Diceros bicornis minor: one gene and its partner. The protein of the gene in region 1 binds, or shares a complex with, the protein of each later gene. Links are inferred from orthologs where the notes say so. Each region holds a gene or a part of one and is shown on either strand. Other genes may lie near its edges.

Region 1 (7,423 bases):
ACAGCTATAACTTTAGAGAAGACCTAAAAAACTACTGTCTCCACAAACCTCCAGATTATCTATTAATGCTTTTAATCATCACTAAGTTTCAAATATCCTAGTAAAGACACTAGGCATTTAACAGAGCAAGCTGGGGGTGAGTAAGGAACTGAGGCAACACCTTTTTGCTATCATTAAGAGTACTATTTCCTCAAACAGCAAACCTCTGGAAAACCCAAGGAACTCAGCTGGTAGAGACATGCTAAGTGAGGATCAGAGAAACCAAACGATGCTTCCATGACTGCTAAATCAAAGGGTGGTGGTAGACACCGCGAAGGTTAGCACTCCTTCACACGATAAAGGGGAAGGAACGACTAGGAAATAACTGGCCAAGTTTCATGAGAAATTTCTCTCTTTGCTAAAAACCTCCACTATTACTGGTGAAGAACCTTCCCCACACATATATAAGATCTCTCCTCTCAATCTTGATGTCATTCGTTCTGTCTTTGGATTTCCCTTCCCTTTACATCCCACTTGACTTAGCAGGAAAGTTTATCATTACTGCTATGCAAAACAGATACTTATCCACTTACCAGTTTAATGGTAAAAATCCACTCCTACCAACAATTAAGTTCCTAGAGGGATCAAGAAAAGAAGCTTCTAGGCATGCTCACTGCACCTTCGGAAACTGTTTTCTTAAAGATCCAAATTTTTGGCAGTAACCTCCAAATAAGGCTGTAATTTATACTCTTAAAACAACTGCAAGCAACAAAAAGAAAAAAAAGCCTTCATGGCTTTATATGAATTGAAGAACATTTGGATAAATTAGTCATATATTTCAGTTTAAACAGGGACGGTTTCCAGGCATTTAAAGCCCTATTAAGAAATGGAAAATCGAATGGAGAACAAATAGTCAAGGCTGTCACACAATGAAACATCACTGATTCTGAACAACACTCTGTGTACTAGCAGAAGCTACCAAGGGAAACAAGAAGCCAGCAAAGAAACTACCCAAGTAGATAAAGACTATAACTGGATGTCAAAAGATTTTGTTTGAAATAATCTGACAAAAATATTTTCTACCTCTGAGAATACTAAAATACGAGTTAATTCAATTTTTGCCCAGTTTAACATTGAAATGGAATAGTTTTCTTAAAAATCTTATGGTTCTCTGGTGCCATAACTTTTCCCAATTCCATACTCCCCTGCCTAGAACACCTCTCCTGTCTTTAACCAATTCCTACTCAGCTTTCAGCACTTAATTAACACCTCACCTACTACAGTAGAGACACACTACCTTTGTTGAGTTCCATCACGAGAAATTATTTAGACTATAGATATCCACTCATTAATCTTACTGACTCCTCTTTGTAAAGAAGTATATGGCATCTAAATTTTTTTTACACTCAACATTGCAGATTCACTGCCCTATGGTTAGTCTTTCTTGACCATTTTTTTCACTCACTCTTCCCCCAACCTGGTTAGGAGCCCCATATGGGATTCCCTTGGTTCCCTATAAAAGAGGAAGCAATGTAATATCACAGAACATCCTAAGTGATTTTTTGGCAAATTACCAAATACTTTGTAATTTATGAAATTCAGAATGGATTTTTATTAAGTCTTAAAAGGCATTCAAAAAATTTTTCTCATGAACATGCCAGTGCATTTTTTTAATAACAGAAGACCAAACTACCAAGAAAAATACACTGCACAGTAAAATAATTTCTGACGTTCTTGAAAATACTTTTTCACTTTCCAAGAGATACAATATGTGCTTCTGTTCAGATTTTACTCTTCATTTTGAAATACATTAGAAAAGCCAGAAAACGCATCCTATACTAAGAACAAAAATCTTTAGTATGAGTTTGTGATCATAGCCTCTGAAATTTCAAAAGTTGCCACAATATTTTTCCAGTCCTGTAAACTCAAAGATATAACTCCTTGTTTCCTGCCATGGGAACTGGGATCATTTCCCTCACCCATTTGGTTAATATTAATTGGCTCTAATATTGGCAGCCTGTCTTGGTCAAGCCTTATTCTTGCAAAACCATCCCTTATAATGAAAGAAACATAAAATATATTCTCCACAGTACGAGAAAAAGAGTTTGGATCAACCACAAATTCAAAATAGGACACAGGAGTATCAGGATACTTTCGAAAGTACATTTGCAACAATCCCAAGATTCTTTCCACTTCTTTTTCTGTCGCTTCTTGATTACCATTCAGGTCCAACTTCCTCAGCTTTGTAGGCATATCCCCGTTTTCTTCCATTTTGTGAACTTTTTTCTGGTGGTCAAGCCGGGGCTTTGGTGCAGAAGGCTCTGACTTGAACGAACCAAAAATAAAGTGGAATGTTTCAGCTCGCACTATCCAGGATGTTGCTTCCTTTTGTACTGTCTCCCAGAAGGAAAGAGCTATATTATCATCACAGCCACCCAACTCATCATGTTCATCCTCTTCCATCCAGTTTAGACCCACAAATATAAACAGAAAGTCACAAAACGCTACTTGATTAAAAAAGCTCGTATTAGAGTTTAGCTGCTTTGCTTTTTCTTTACCCAAATCAGAAGCCAAAACAAGAAACTGGGCATCGAGGGCTGCTTCCCTTGTTCGGCTCACTCCATCAAACAGGACATTGGCTTCCTCAAGAGCCTCGGTTAATGAGTTGCTCGCTCTGTTCACTATGTCATCACGATTCTGCTGCACGTTATAGATGAGCTGCCGGTACTGCTTGCGGATATTCCGGCATTTCTCCTCGTCAGCCTCGAGCCCTAGGAGGTTTGGTTTTATGGCGGCATCCCCACAGCCGAGGTCGTCAGAGCAGCAATCAGGCCCCAGCGCTTCCACCTTCATCGGTTCTCCGTCCTCCTCCGCCTGCTTCACAGAGTACGCGCTACCAGTGATGCTCACCACCGGCTCCTCTTTTTTCTCCACGCCCTCCTTCAGAGAGTCTTTCTCATCAAACATGTCGACAACTGCTGATGCTCAGCTAACGGCTTTCGCTACGTTTCCCACAACAGCAGAAAGTGAGGAGGTCAGTTAGAGCGGAGGGCGTCCGCCCATGCGCACTGGCGGCGCGGCCCGGAGGCCCGCCCCTGCTCCCGCCCCCGCTCCCGCCCCCAGCTCGCTCCACCTCCCGCCGGCTGCCGCCCGCTGCGCCGCAGACCCCAGGCCCCGCGTTCGCGAACGAGCCCGCGGCCGCGCACAGAACGCGCGCAATAATGGGTCCCAACGCCGAGTATCCGTTCAAGCAACAGCTATTATTTTAGCGTTTACGAACAGTGTCATGTAGCTTTCAAAGAAACAGATGGACAACGTTATGACAAAATTGCGGGGAGACTAAAGGTCCTGCGCTCTAAAACATTCGCTGTCATCTTGCCACTAGGTCGACCTCCATTTTTCGTTCTTAATATGATTAAAAGGTGGGGTGTCTTTTTGTTTTTGTTTTTTTGAGAACTAAATCTGGCTAGATTACAAACTGCCCGTAAAGCCAAGGACTGTGAAACGCAGAACCTCCATTACAAATCGGCCGAACTCGCAGGGTTCATTTGCAAGGTGGTTGTTTGGAACTCATTCTTCAATATACAAATGCACACTTACCTTCGGGGGCCCTCAAAAGCCAAATCCCCTCCAAACTACCCCATAGTGGGAGGGAGGGCCCGTCTTGGGGATGCGTCTCTTCCAGCGCATGTGCGAAGGGTGGGGCGTATTATTCAAGTGATCTTTGGTTCTCCACCACTCAAGGATGGAATAAACTGGGTACGGTTTCTGCAAAAGAGCTGTCTATTTGGAAGCTTCCCAACGGCTAAAGGCCAAAGACTAAATGGATAGTAAATCCGAACCCTAAAAGGTGAGCAAAGCTATGAAGATTTTAAACACAAATCTGTTCTAAGGAATATGAAAGCGAATAAGGATGTATAAATCAGGTAACTAATCTAGGTTGGAAAATGCACCCACTACCTAGTTCATTGGAAATTCACCCACTACCTAGTTCACTGAAAATTCTTGTACAGTTGGAGAAAGGGGTCAGCTGATCAGTCACACAAGTAGCAAAGTATATGTAACAATGGAAAGGAATACATTTTGTTTTTAACGAGAGGCACACTCTGAACCCACAAGATCAAAAGCTTTTAACCACTGCAACAGGTGCCCCTGTGACAGAGACAGAGAGACAAGAGACGGCAAAACTGCACCTGTCAACTCGAGTTTCCCCTTCCCTTCCTTGCTATGCATGTAGACTGTTCATTATTCTCTGACATTAGCAGAAAGCTTTTCACAAATGCATGAACAGCAAAACAGTATTAAGTCACTCCAAAATATTTACATTACTAGTCGTCCACCATTTTTTTTTAAGTAGGGGTAATTCAGGAAGAAACATACATTTTTCAAAAACACCATGCACTATGGTTACTTGTACATAGATATTATCCTGCCTATTAGACTGTTAGCTTCTCTACAGCAAGAACTTGGTTTTAAATATTCCAAGCAAAGCTGTTTTCACATGGAGGCATTTGAGTATGCATATTTGAATGTATAAATGAATGTAGATGAAAAACTTTGTCCCAGCACCTATTGCAAGTTATTTGGCAGCAAAAGATTAATTTCATAGATTAGTGGAAGAAATAGATCCTACAATCGAAAATAAAAGTTAACTGCTTTTCAGAAAGTCAGCCTTATCCCTTCTCTGAAATAAAGAAAAAGCAGGAGGAAAACAAAGTTGGGACCCAGGATCATCAAAGGGCCATATTTTCCCTCCAAGTCTGGCCAACTACAAACTAATATTTAAACCTGTTTTAAATCTTGGATGAAAATACACAGTTAATTCTAAGTCCCAAATCCAAAAAAGTTTGCTTTTATAATTAACCATATTCTTGGGAGCTTCTAATATCCACTTCATATTCAATAAAAGCAATTTATAAAAGAACTTTAAAAGACAAGCCAACCTTCCCACCCTAAGGTACTTATTTTCTCCTGGCTCAGAGAAAGGAAAACAGGCTGATACCAATTTGCTCCATACAGACCCTTTCATCTAAGGATTTCAAAATGCTTTAGAAAAATAAATTAATTCTCCCAACCTACTTATAAAGTATTACTAATGCCATTTACAGGGATTTCTCAGGTGATAATGGCCTACACAACTTGCTCAGAGCAACAGAACACATCAAGACAAGCATCATATTTCTAAATTGCAATTTCCAGCGCTGAATTCATTCTATGCTAGATCCCTGTCCCTAAGAACCTTAGTAACATGTAACTTAGATCGTCCTCAGAAAGTCATGCATGCACTGTATTTTGCCTTTTAAAATCTGCCTTTAGAGCACAAGGTTTAGATGTCGCTGCAAAGCAAAAATCTCAAGTCTAATGATTTTCCCCAATCATTTAAAGAATGAGATTTCTACACTTATGAATCCTTTAATCACTAAACAGAGATGTTATAACCTAAGGTCCAATTACTAGTAATAATTATATAAATGCAGCTTAAAAAGAAGGAATATTTATATAATGTTAGAAACCAATGTGACCTCAATAAAAAAAGAAGGAACAGCAATACAGAATTTCGGTTATACTGGTAAACTTCTCTATGACTTGTTACAGAAAGCAAAGTGTACTACTTCTTCAAAGAAATCACTAAGATGTACCTTCATGCAGTAAGACTAGTTCAGGTAACCAAGATATACAGCTTGGCCTTCAAGATAATTTAGCTCCTCTCCTCCCCTTTTTTCCTCTTTCAGGAGTTGTTGCCAAGGGCTCAGTATGGTCCTCCATTTCTTCTCTTCTGTTCTTCAGTTTTTTCTCCTATGTTATTTTTCAGTCCCTTTGCTAAGAGTTCAGATTCATTCATTCCAAGCATTCTTAAGCTCTTTCCCATAACCCCTAGTGCTCACCACAAACATGGTGGGATGGGTGTCGTAAGTTACAAGTCTCTGTATGGTCAAATAAAAAAAGAATTCACATAGGGTCCACTATCTTTTCCAGCAGGGTTTTAACTGCAGGATCAATCTATAACAGATGTTGAAGAGACTTCTGAGCCAAAGCCAGCAACCCAGCCAAGTCTGAGTCCTGCACTCTAACAGATAGACTTATCTTGCTATTAGCTACCTCCCTAAACTTTCCTTCTTTCACAAGAGTTTTACCCCCCTCATCCTGTCAGCGTATCTATTTAATACTGAGTTGTGAAGAAACATGGTAAAAAGTCCTGGTTTGATCTGTCAGATTAGCAGGATGTTAGGTATATTTTCTTTCTCATCTTAATTTCCTTTAAAGTTATGTTTGTGTGTATATTTTTGCTTTGTTTGGTTTTTTAGTATTAAAGGTAAACTTTGCTATGATCAAGGCAGATATCTGTGTGTTTTTTAAATGAGTTTCTGAAAATGGACAGCGTAAGGAGGCAAACTTGGGTTCCAATCTTGATCTATTAGCTATCAGTTTTATCTTAGGCAGATTACTTACCCTCTCAGCTTCCAGTTTCCTCATTTGATAGATGGGACTACAACTACTCACATCACAAAGGTACTTTAAGTACTGAATAAGAATTATGTGATAGATCTGAAATATTTTCAACTATTAAGTACTTATTAAATCTTAAATTATCTCAAAGATAGTAAATGTTTAATCAACATTAGACAGTAAATAGAAAAAAAATGTATACAAACCAGTAGCATCACTTCTGGATGTTGTTTTAGGAAAAGAAAAACATTTTAAAGGTTAAATCCATAAGGAGGAATACAGAAATATATCCCGCTATAACAAATACCAGTGAAAAGAAATTTACCATATAATAAAATAAATCTACTAAGGCTTCAACTAATGGAAATGTGTACAGCACTTTGAAGGGTAGACTTCTCTTCTAGATATTCTGAAGCAAGTCAACAAAGAGTCTGAGATTGTATGTAAAATTACTTATGTATATTTTTTTCATGAATAGCTCCTTGGATTTCAACAGATTCTTTAAAAAACCCAGTAGTATCTAAAAGAGGCTTTGCCTATGTGTGCTAGTCAAATAAGATGGCTTTATTAGTGAAGAAAAATAAAATGAAAGTCAAGTCCCACAAAATAATTTGAACCCACAGACTGAAATACTTTAAAGTATATAAAACCTCCGCCCTTGCTCTGTGGTCAAGTTATACACTTAACTGACACTTCAGAAAACCCAGTGCTGGCTGACTTGCCAAGCCTCAAGAACTAACATAAACAAGGGTATGAGATGAGGAGAATAAAACCTTTCAGGTTATAGGAACAATTATCAACTCTTGGGATACCTCAGAAGTTGGCAATGACCAGGAGCATCGTCTTGATAGACTAGGAGTAGAAAAGCCCTGGGTATGTGGCTTTTTAAGGAGGCAGCCTTGACCTCAGCTCTGGAGGCCTGGGTTCAAATCAAAACTAGTACTTTATTTTTTTTTTTTTAAAGATTTTATTTATTTATTTTTTTTCCCCAAAGACC
Region 2 (7,238 bases), on another chromosome or scaffold:
CATCCAATGTTATATGTCAATAATATCTCATGAAAGCTGGGGGGGATCAATCAATGTGAGTCACCACATTAACAGAATAAAGAAGAAAAAGCATACAATCATCTTAACAGATGCAGCAAATACAGTTGACAAAACCCAACATTTAATTCGTACTAAAAACTCTTAACAAACTTGGAATAGAAGGCAACTTCCATTATCTACTAAATGACATCTACAAAAACCCAGAGCAAACATACTTAAGGATGAAATGTTGAAAGCAATCATTTTAAAATCCAAATTGATCCAATGCAACTGAATCAATGCAATTCCTATCAAAATCCCAACAGGCTTTGTGTGTCTGTTTGTGATTTGACAAGACAATTCTAAAACTTACATGGAAAGTGTAAAGGCAAAACAGCAAAGGCCTTCTTGGAGAAGATAAAGGCAGAGGACTTGTCCTAACTCATTCTAAAGCTAGGGTAACGAATAAAGTCTGGTAATGGTATAGAAATGGACACACAAGACCAATGGAACAGAACAGAGAACTCAGAAATGTATGCATATGTAGATACTTGACATGTTGGAGAAATGGAACTCCATTTCAAAGCAAACTTTTCAATAAAATGTGCCAGAACAACTGATTATCCATATGTGAAAAAAATATATATAAAACTAGACCCTTTCTTTACACTATGCACAAAAATCTATTCTTGAGGATTAAGGTCACAAGAAAGGAAACAGGACAAAACTTTTGGACAACAATATAGGAGAATATCTTTACGATCCCAAGGTAACGAGGGATTTCTTAAAAAGACAAAAAAATTCCAAACCATAAAGGAATATCAGTAAATTCAACTTTGTTAAAATTAAGAACCTCTGTTCACCAAAAATACCAGAGAGTGAGAGAGAGAAGACAAGCTACAAACTGGAAGGTATCTGAAAAACATTTAAGCCACAAAAGATTCATATTCAGAACATATAAAGAACTCCTACAAATCAGTAAGGGGAGGACAACCATAAGAGAAAAATGAGCAGCAGAAATTTCACATACAGGATACACAAATGATTAATAAATACAGAAAAAGATGCTCAATCTCAATTTCATCAGGCAACTGAGTATTCAAACCACAGTGATTAATGTCTTACCCATCACCAGATAGGCAAAAATTCTTGAGAATGGCTGAGCCCGCAACTTTCATCCACTGCTGGTAGAGTATAATCTCTTACAACCACTTGAGACAATTTGATATTACTAGCAAATTTGGATATCCCCAGAAATCCACTACTAGGTATATAACTTAGAGAAACTTTTCCACATTTGCCCCAGGAAATATATTTGTAAAAGCACCATGTAATAGCAAAAATCTGGGAACAGTATAAATGACGATCAACTGAAGAATGCCTACATAAAGCACTTATAGTCATACCATGGAATTCAAAACAGCAACGAAGATGAAGAAGAGCTACTCACATCAACATGGGTGCATCTCATGTACATAACCTTATGTGCAAAAATCAAGTCACACAAAATATATACTAGGATCCTATTTATACAAAATTCAAAACCTAGCAAAACTGTACATTGCACTCATCAGAGATACAGGGCGAGTAAAAACTACAAAGAAAAACAAGGGAATGAGTAACCCAACATGCAGGGCAGAGGCTATCTTCAGCGAGGGGAGACAGGATTCTGTGGGGCTTTGAGGATAGACAATGTTCTATTTCTTAACTTGGTGGTGGGTATATGGGTGTTCATTCTAATTCTTCAAACTTACATTTTCACACATTTTTATCGGCATGTTATGTATCTTGATAAAAAATAAGAAAATGATATAAATATGTTAAGTAACAGCCAAAATAAATGTCAGTAAGAACACCGTATAGAACACTCTAATTTGGGGACAAGAGAAGGGAAATAGCGTGAAAGATACAGATAGGCTTGTTAATGCATAGAAGTCAGTTGTCTTTATGAAGAGGGCCAGGGTAGGAGAGACTGACCATGGACATGTATTGTCTACTCAAATAACCATAAAATAGAAATGTTTATGGAATAAGCAAATCTCAATCATAATCGTTTGAGCTATGTGCTAGATGCAGTGTTAGTGCTTCACATGCACAGTTGCATTTAATCCTCATCAGAACCTTATGAGGAAAGCATTACTGACCCCATTTTACAGACGAGGAAACTGAGGCTGAGAGAGCACAAGGTGACACACAGTTAGTGATGGAAATAGCCAGTGGCCATACAAAAGCAGAGTTCAGGAACCGTGGCACCTCCAGTCCAGAGAAGCGAGAAATACGAGTGAACAGTACAATTATGATCCAGGTCCCTTATCTGCAATTTTCAAATCTAAAAAGGTCTGCAAACCACGTCTTTCAAGTTTGAAAACCTGATCTGACCTAACGTGAGGCTATTTATGGCTGTTCTTTATCCCCTTTCGTGTAAATGTGCACGTATGTAGCTGCGGAAATATTAATGTATTTGATTCCAGGATGCTGCCCTAGACCCCACGGAAGGCATGACATAACGGAGCATATATGCACCATTTTACCTTTCGAAAATTCGAGAAATTTGGGATTCTGCACACATCTAGCCTCAGGGCTTTAAAATAAGAGGCTGTGGACTTGAACAAAGTAATTAAGTTCTGCACACAAAATAGGGGTGAAGCACAGAGGAGGGCGAGAGTAACTGAGAGTGGGGTCAGCGAAGGCCATAGTTACGTACTGTTTTGATAACATTTTGTATTTTGATTTTTCAACTCCGATGATTAAAAGTACTTTTTCACCTAAGATTACGATTTTAAAATGTCTGTGTGCGTGAGGGACTCGGTGCCAGCCCACCTGCCTCTGCCGCCCGTCTTCGGGCCTCAGTTTCCCCACCAGGAAATGCGAAGTCCGGAGCCCCCGGGCCCCAGCGCCACACTCCTGCCCAGCACGCGGCAGGCCCCGGGGCCTGACCCCCGCCTCCGTCCTCCCCTCTCATGCCCGGACAACACTCCCCCTCCCCATCAGCCCCGCGCCCCGGGGTACCCACCGAGGCCCCCAAACGCAGCCCACACGGTCCCAAGCGACGGCAGAAAAGCGGCCTCGGCTCCTCCTTCGGGGCGGGGCGAAGGCGGACGCGGTGCTCCCATTGGTGGCCGTCGCAGGTTCGTCCCGCCCACCAGTGACGCACTTCCTGTTCGCCGGCCCGCGCGGTTGCCATGGTGTCGCAGAGTCTGTTGGTGAGGTCCGGGGTTACGAGCTTTCCGCGCCGCTCTCGGTACCTTACCGGGAAGGGCTTCTCCTTGTCGCCTGCCGCTTCCTGGCCCGCGGTGGCGCCCGGCGACCCGAGAGAAGAAGGGCAGGAGTGCAGCGTGCCCCCCCACCCCGGGCCGCGATCCCACGGGCACAAGCTAGTGCCTCAATTTCCCCATCTGTAGAACTGACAGTGTGACCTCAAGGTCAAGAATGAGGGTCTGTTGTCACACAGCCTGAGCTAGAATCCTGGCTCTGCCACTTGCTAGTTGCCGGAAATTGGGCAATTCCTGAGCTGCGCAGAGCCTCAGTTTCTTCTTCTGTTAAATGCGGATAATCACAATCCCTATGAAGTAGTGTGTTCGTCAGGTTTAAAAGGTAACGCGCGTGGAAATGCTGATTGAATGTTAGCTAGTCTTACCTAGGGATTGTTGTGAGAAGTAACCGAAGTTACCAATAGAAGTGAAGGGACTGTTTTTGAGTCTCCAGGGCACTCCTTTTACAAACATTTGTACTCCAGTCTCGTCTGAGAGCTGGGTATGCAGTCTAGCAGGGGAAATAGGTAGCTAATTATAGGGACAGTAGAAAGTGCAAGTATCTATCTCTGTGATGAAAGTTTCAAACCCCTACTCGGCGGGTTACCACTCCTGTGAGCTTGGACAATTTCTCAACCTCTCTGGACCTCAGTTTCCTCCTCTGCTGATGGGGAAAGCAGTAGAGTGTAAGGGTTAAAGGCTTGAGCTCCTGAGCTGGACCATGTGGATTTGCATCCTGGTGCTTAAACTCAGTATCTCTGAGACCCAGCACAAGGTATTGAAGCTCTCTGCCTCAGTTTGCTCATCTATAAAGCAGAGATAATAATAGCACATTGTTGATAAGATTAAATGAGTTAATACATGCAAACCACTTAGAAGAGTGGCACATAGTAAGCCCTCAATAAGTGTGAGTTACCATTCTAATAAAGTACTTTATAAAATGCCTTAGGGGGCAGGCAAATAAGAGAAGAACATCCCTAAGGAGGACCATCCATGTTTTGTTTGCCCTGCACAGTTTTATAACGTTTTGAATTCATTATCAATATTTAAAGTTGAGGCATTTCACATAAAACCCTAGGGTATTTGACAGCTCTTGAAAAATGAGGCAATCTGGTGACAATCAGCCAGCATTCTCCCACTTGATCAGAGCTTAGTAAAGACTATGCCCCTTTGTAACAAAATGTGTGCTTGCCTACTGTGTAGTGAAATAAAAACTGAGGACCACGAATAGAAAAAGCCGGGACACTGACATGTCAGGATCAAAGGGCCAAGAAAGGAGGTAGAAAGAAAAGAAAGGGATTCAAGATTGGGTGGTATCGGAGGCAAACAGGTAGGAGAGAGTGTTGAGAAGCAGAGTGTGGTCTGAGTTGTCAGTGCTCTGGGGAGGTCAAGAAAGACATGCCACCGATTTGGAATTTGATGGCTGGTAAGAGCCCATAGAGACAGAGGAAGCTAGATCAGCCTCCAAGAGGAGTGAATGCAGGGAAGCCGAGGGAGTGGAGAACGAGTGCTGACTGCTTCTAGGAAGGATGGTTTGGGAAGGCTAGATGTGAAGACTTGGGAACAAAGGGAGTAATCAATAGAATAAAAACAGGAGACAGGAGAGGACGAAGTCGAGGGCATATGGAGACAGGATTACTTTTATCCTAGACAGAAAGAGAGACACTTCTGAAACAGGAGGAAAGGAGGCGAAATGGGATAAAGGCTCACCCCTGATGTTTTCTATTTTCTCTGTAAAGTAGCAAAGTATCATTCTGCTGAATAAAGTGGCCAGGGAGATGCTAGGGGATTTGAAGGGAGTCAAGAGGTTTGGAACAGATGCGAAAGTGAGGTTCTGGCTAAGGCTGAAACCATCAATGTGTAGAGAGGACAGTCGCTCACCTGATCCCCCCACAATCTCCCATCCCCATGCCAGGGGCCTCAGAGCAGAAGCTTGGTGTGGATTCATCCTGGGGTGGGGCTTGGTTGGGCACATGCAGCTGTGGCTAGAAGGCAAAGCAACTGGAGAGCGTTGGTGGGAGGGTCTTTGAAGTGACCCGTGGTGGTATGGGCAGGCAGGGATAGGAAGTAGGGACGGTGCTGAGAAATTAGCATGGAGGGATACAGCAACCAGAGGTCTCAGGGAGGTGGATCGGGCTCAGTAGGAGCAAGTAGTGAGTAAAGACTGGAGTTCATGACTCTACCCTCAGAAGACAGCCCATTCTCTAGTTGGTTCAGTGAGTATCTATTAGGACCTTTGATGTGGCAGATATTGGACTGCCTGCGACAGACAACTTTGACAGTTCAAACGTTCTTCTGAAAGTTGACCCTGAAAGGTACAAGAGCTATGTGGACATAAATTTGTTGTACATAAGGGAGGTGGCTGAGGCCTTGGCTAGAGAGGAAGCCTGAGGCCAAATCATAGGCTAAAGGGGTTGGTCTTTCACCTGAAGACCATAGACGCTATCAGAGAGGAAGTGATGGGATCAGGTTTGTCTTTTAGAAAAAGAACATCAGCACCTACGTTCTTTTCAAACATACTTGAAACATTTACAGAAATTGACTATGTACTGGCCACAAAGGAAGCCTCAGTGAATTCCAAAGAATCTATAGACCACTGTCACGAACCGCAACGAAGTAAAATTAAAAGTCAACAACAAAAAGAGAGCCAAAAGGAAACCCATACAACTCACAGAATACACCTTAAGTTAGTAACTGCAGTTGCTTCTAAGGAGGGGCCAGGAAGACAGTATGATTTGTTTTTTATCATGTACATCTATTACTTATGAAAAATAAAAAAATTAAAAGCATACATTTGAGTCTTATTTCTTAAGCTAGGTGTTCATTATTTTAATTTTAGATCTTTTTTATGTTAAAAGATTTTATAATACATTTTTTTGTGTGTGTGTGTGAGGAGATCAGCCCTGAGCTAACATCCGCCAATCCTCCTCCTTTTTTGCTGAGGAAGACGGCCCTGGGCTAACATCGGTGCCTATCTTCCTCCACTTTATATGGGACGCCGCCACAGCATGGCTTACCAAGCAGTGCCTCGGTGCGCGCCCGGGATCCGAACCAGCGACCCCGGGCCGCCACAGCGGAGCGCGCGCACTTAACCGCTTGCGCCACCGGGCCGGCCCCTATAATACATTTTTAAAAGAAAAAGAACATACCTTTTGGAAACTGAAAAATACGTACGCATGAAAAAGAAAACCAATATAGAAATTACAAAATATTTAGAAATGAATGACAATAAAAGCCTGCCATAACAAAACTTGTGGGATCCAACCAAAACAATAACCAGAGGGGAATTTATAGCCTGAAGTGTACCTATTACAAAATAAGAAAACAAAATTTAAGTGTTCAATTTAAGATGTAGAAAAATAACTAAATAAGCCCAGAGAAAACAGAAGGAAGGAAATAACAATAAAGCAAAAAGCAGAGATAAGTAAAATGAAAAACGAAAGAAAATGGAAACCTAAAGTTGGTGTTCTGTTAAAGACTAATAAAATAGACAAATTTTATTTGATCAAGAAAATGACACAAACAATATTATGAATGACAAAGGAAACATACCAGAATAAAAATGTTAGAAAGCATAAGAGTATACTAGGAACAACTTTATGCCAATACATTTGAAAACCTACATAAAAGGGGTAATTTTTGACAAAAATACATATAAAACTTGGCCCAAGAAGAAAAGTAGACAAATATCCATCAATGAGATTGAAAAGGTAGCAGAACTTCTTCTGCTCCAGCTCCCCAAATGCCTAGGCCAAGACAGTTTTACTGGAGTGATACACACAAAAAATGCAAAACCCAAAAAAACAAAACTATATCATGCAAACTGCACAGGAATATGAACAAGACAGAGAAATCCAACACATTCTGTGAAACTATTCTAATCTTGATACCAAAACGAGAACAGCAGAATTAAAGAAAATGCCAAGTCTGTCTATATCACAAACGGATGCAAAAATTGAGTTTCCCAGGGGATCAAAAGACTGTATC

What was found. Proteins that work in one complex are often made in the same cells at the same time.
Region 2: EID3 (region 1) and NSMCE1 share a complex: the UniProt entries of both Homo sapiens proteins name them as parts of the SMC5-SMC6 complex. The link is inferred for Diceros bicornis minor from reciprocal best matches to the Homo sapiens genes EID3 and NSMCE1.

Annotation. Positions count from the first base shown.
Region 1 is NC_080764.1:19,519,017-19,526,439, forward strand, and holds the start of EID3 (EP300-interacting inhibitor of differentiation 3), read right to left. Parts: upstream 3,041-7,423; 5' UTR 2,947-3,040; coding exon 1,834-2,946; 3' UTR 1-1,833. UniProt on the Homo sapiens protein: Tissue-specific component of the SMC5-SMC6 complex, a complex involved in repair of DNA double-strand breaks by homologous recombination.
Region 2 is NC_080765.1:23,115,760-23,122,997, reverse strand, and holds the start of NSMCE1 (non-structural maintenance of chromosomes element 1 homolog), read right to left. Parts: upstream 3,094-7,238; 5' UTR 3,014-3,093; intron 1-3,013. UniProt on the Homo sapiens protein: RING-type zinc finger-containing E3 ubiquitin ligase that assembles with melanoma antigen protein (MAGE) to catalyze the direct transfer of ubiquitin from E2 ubiquitin-conjugating enzyme to a specific substrate.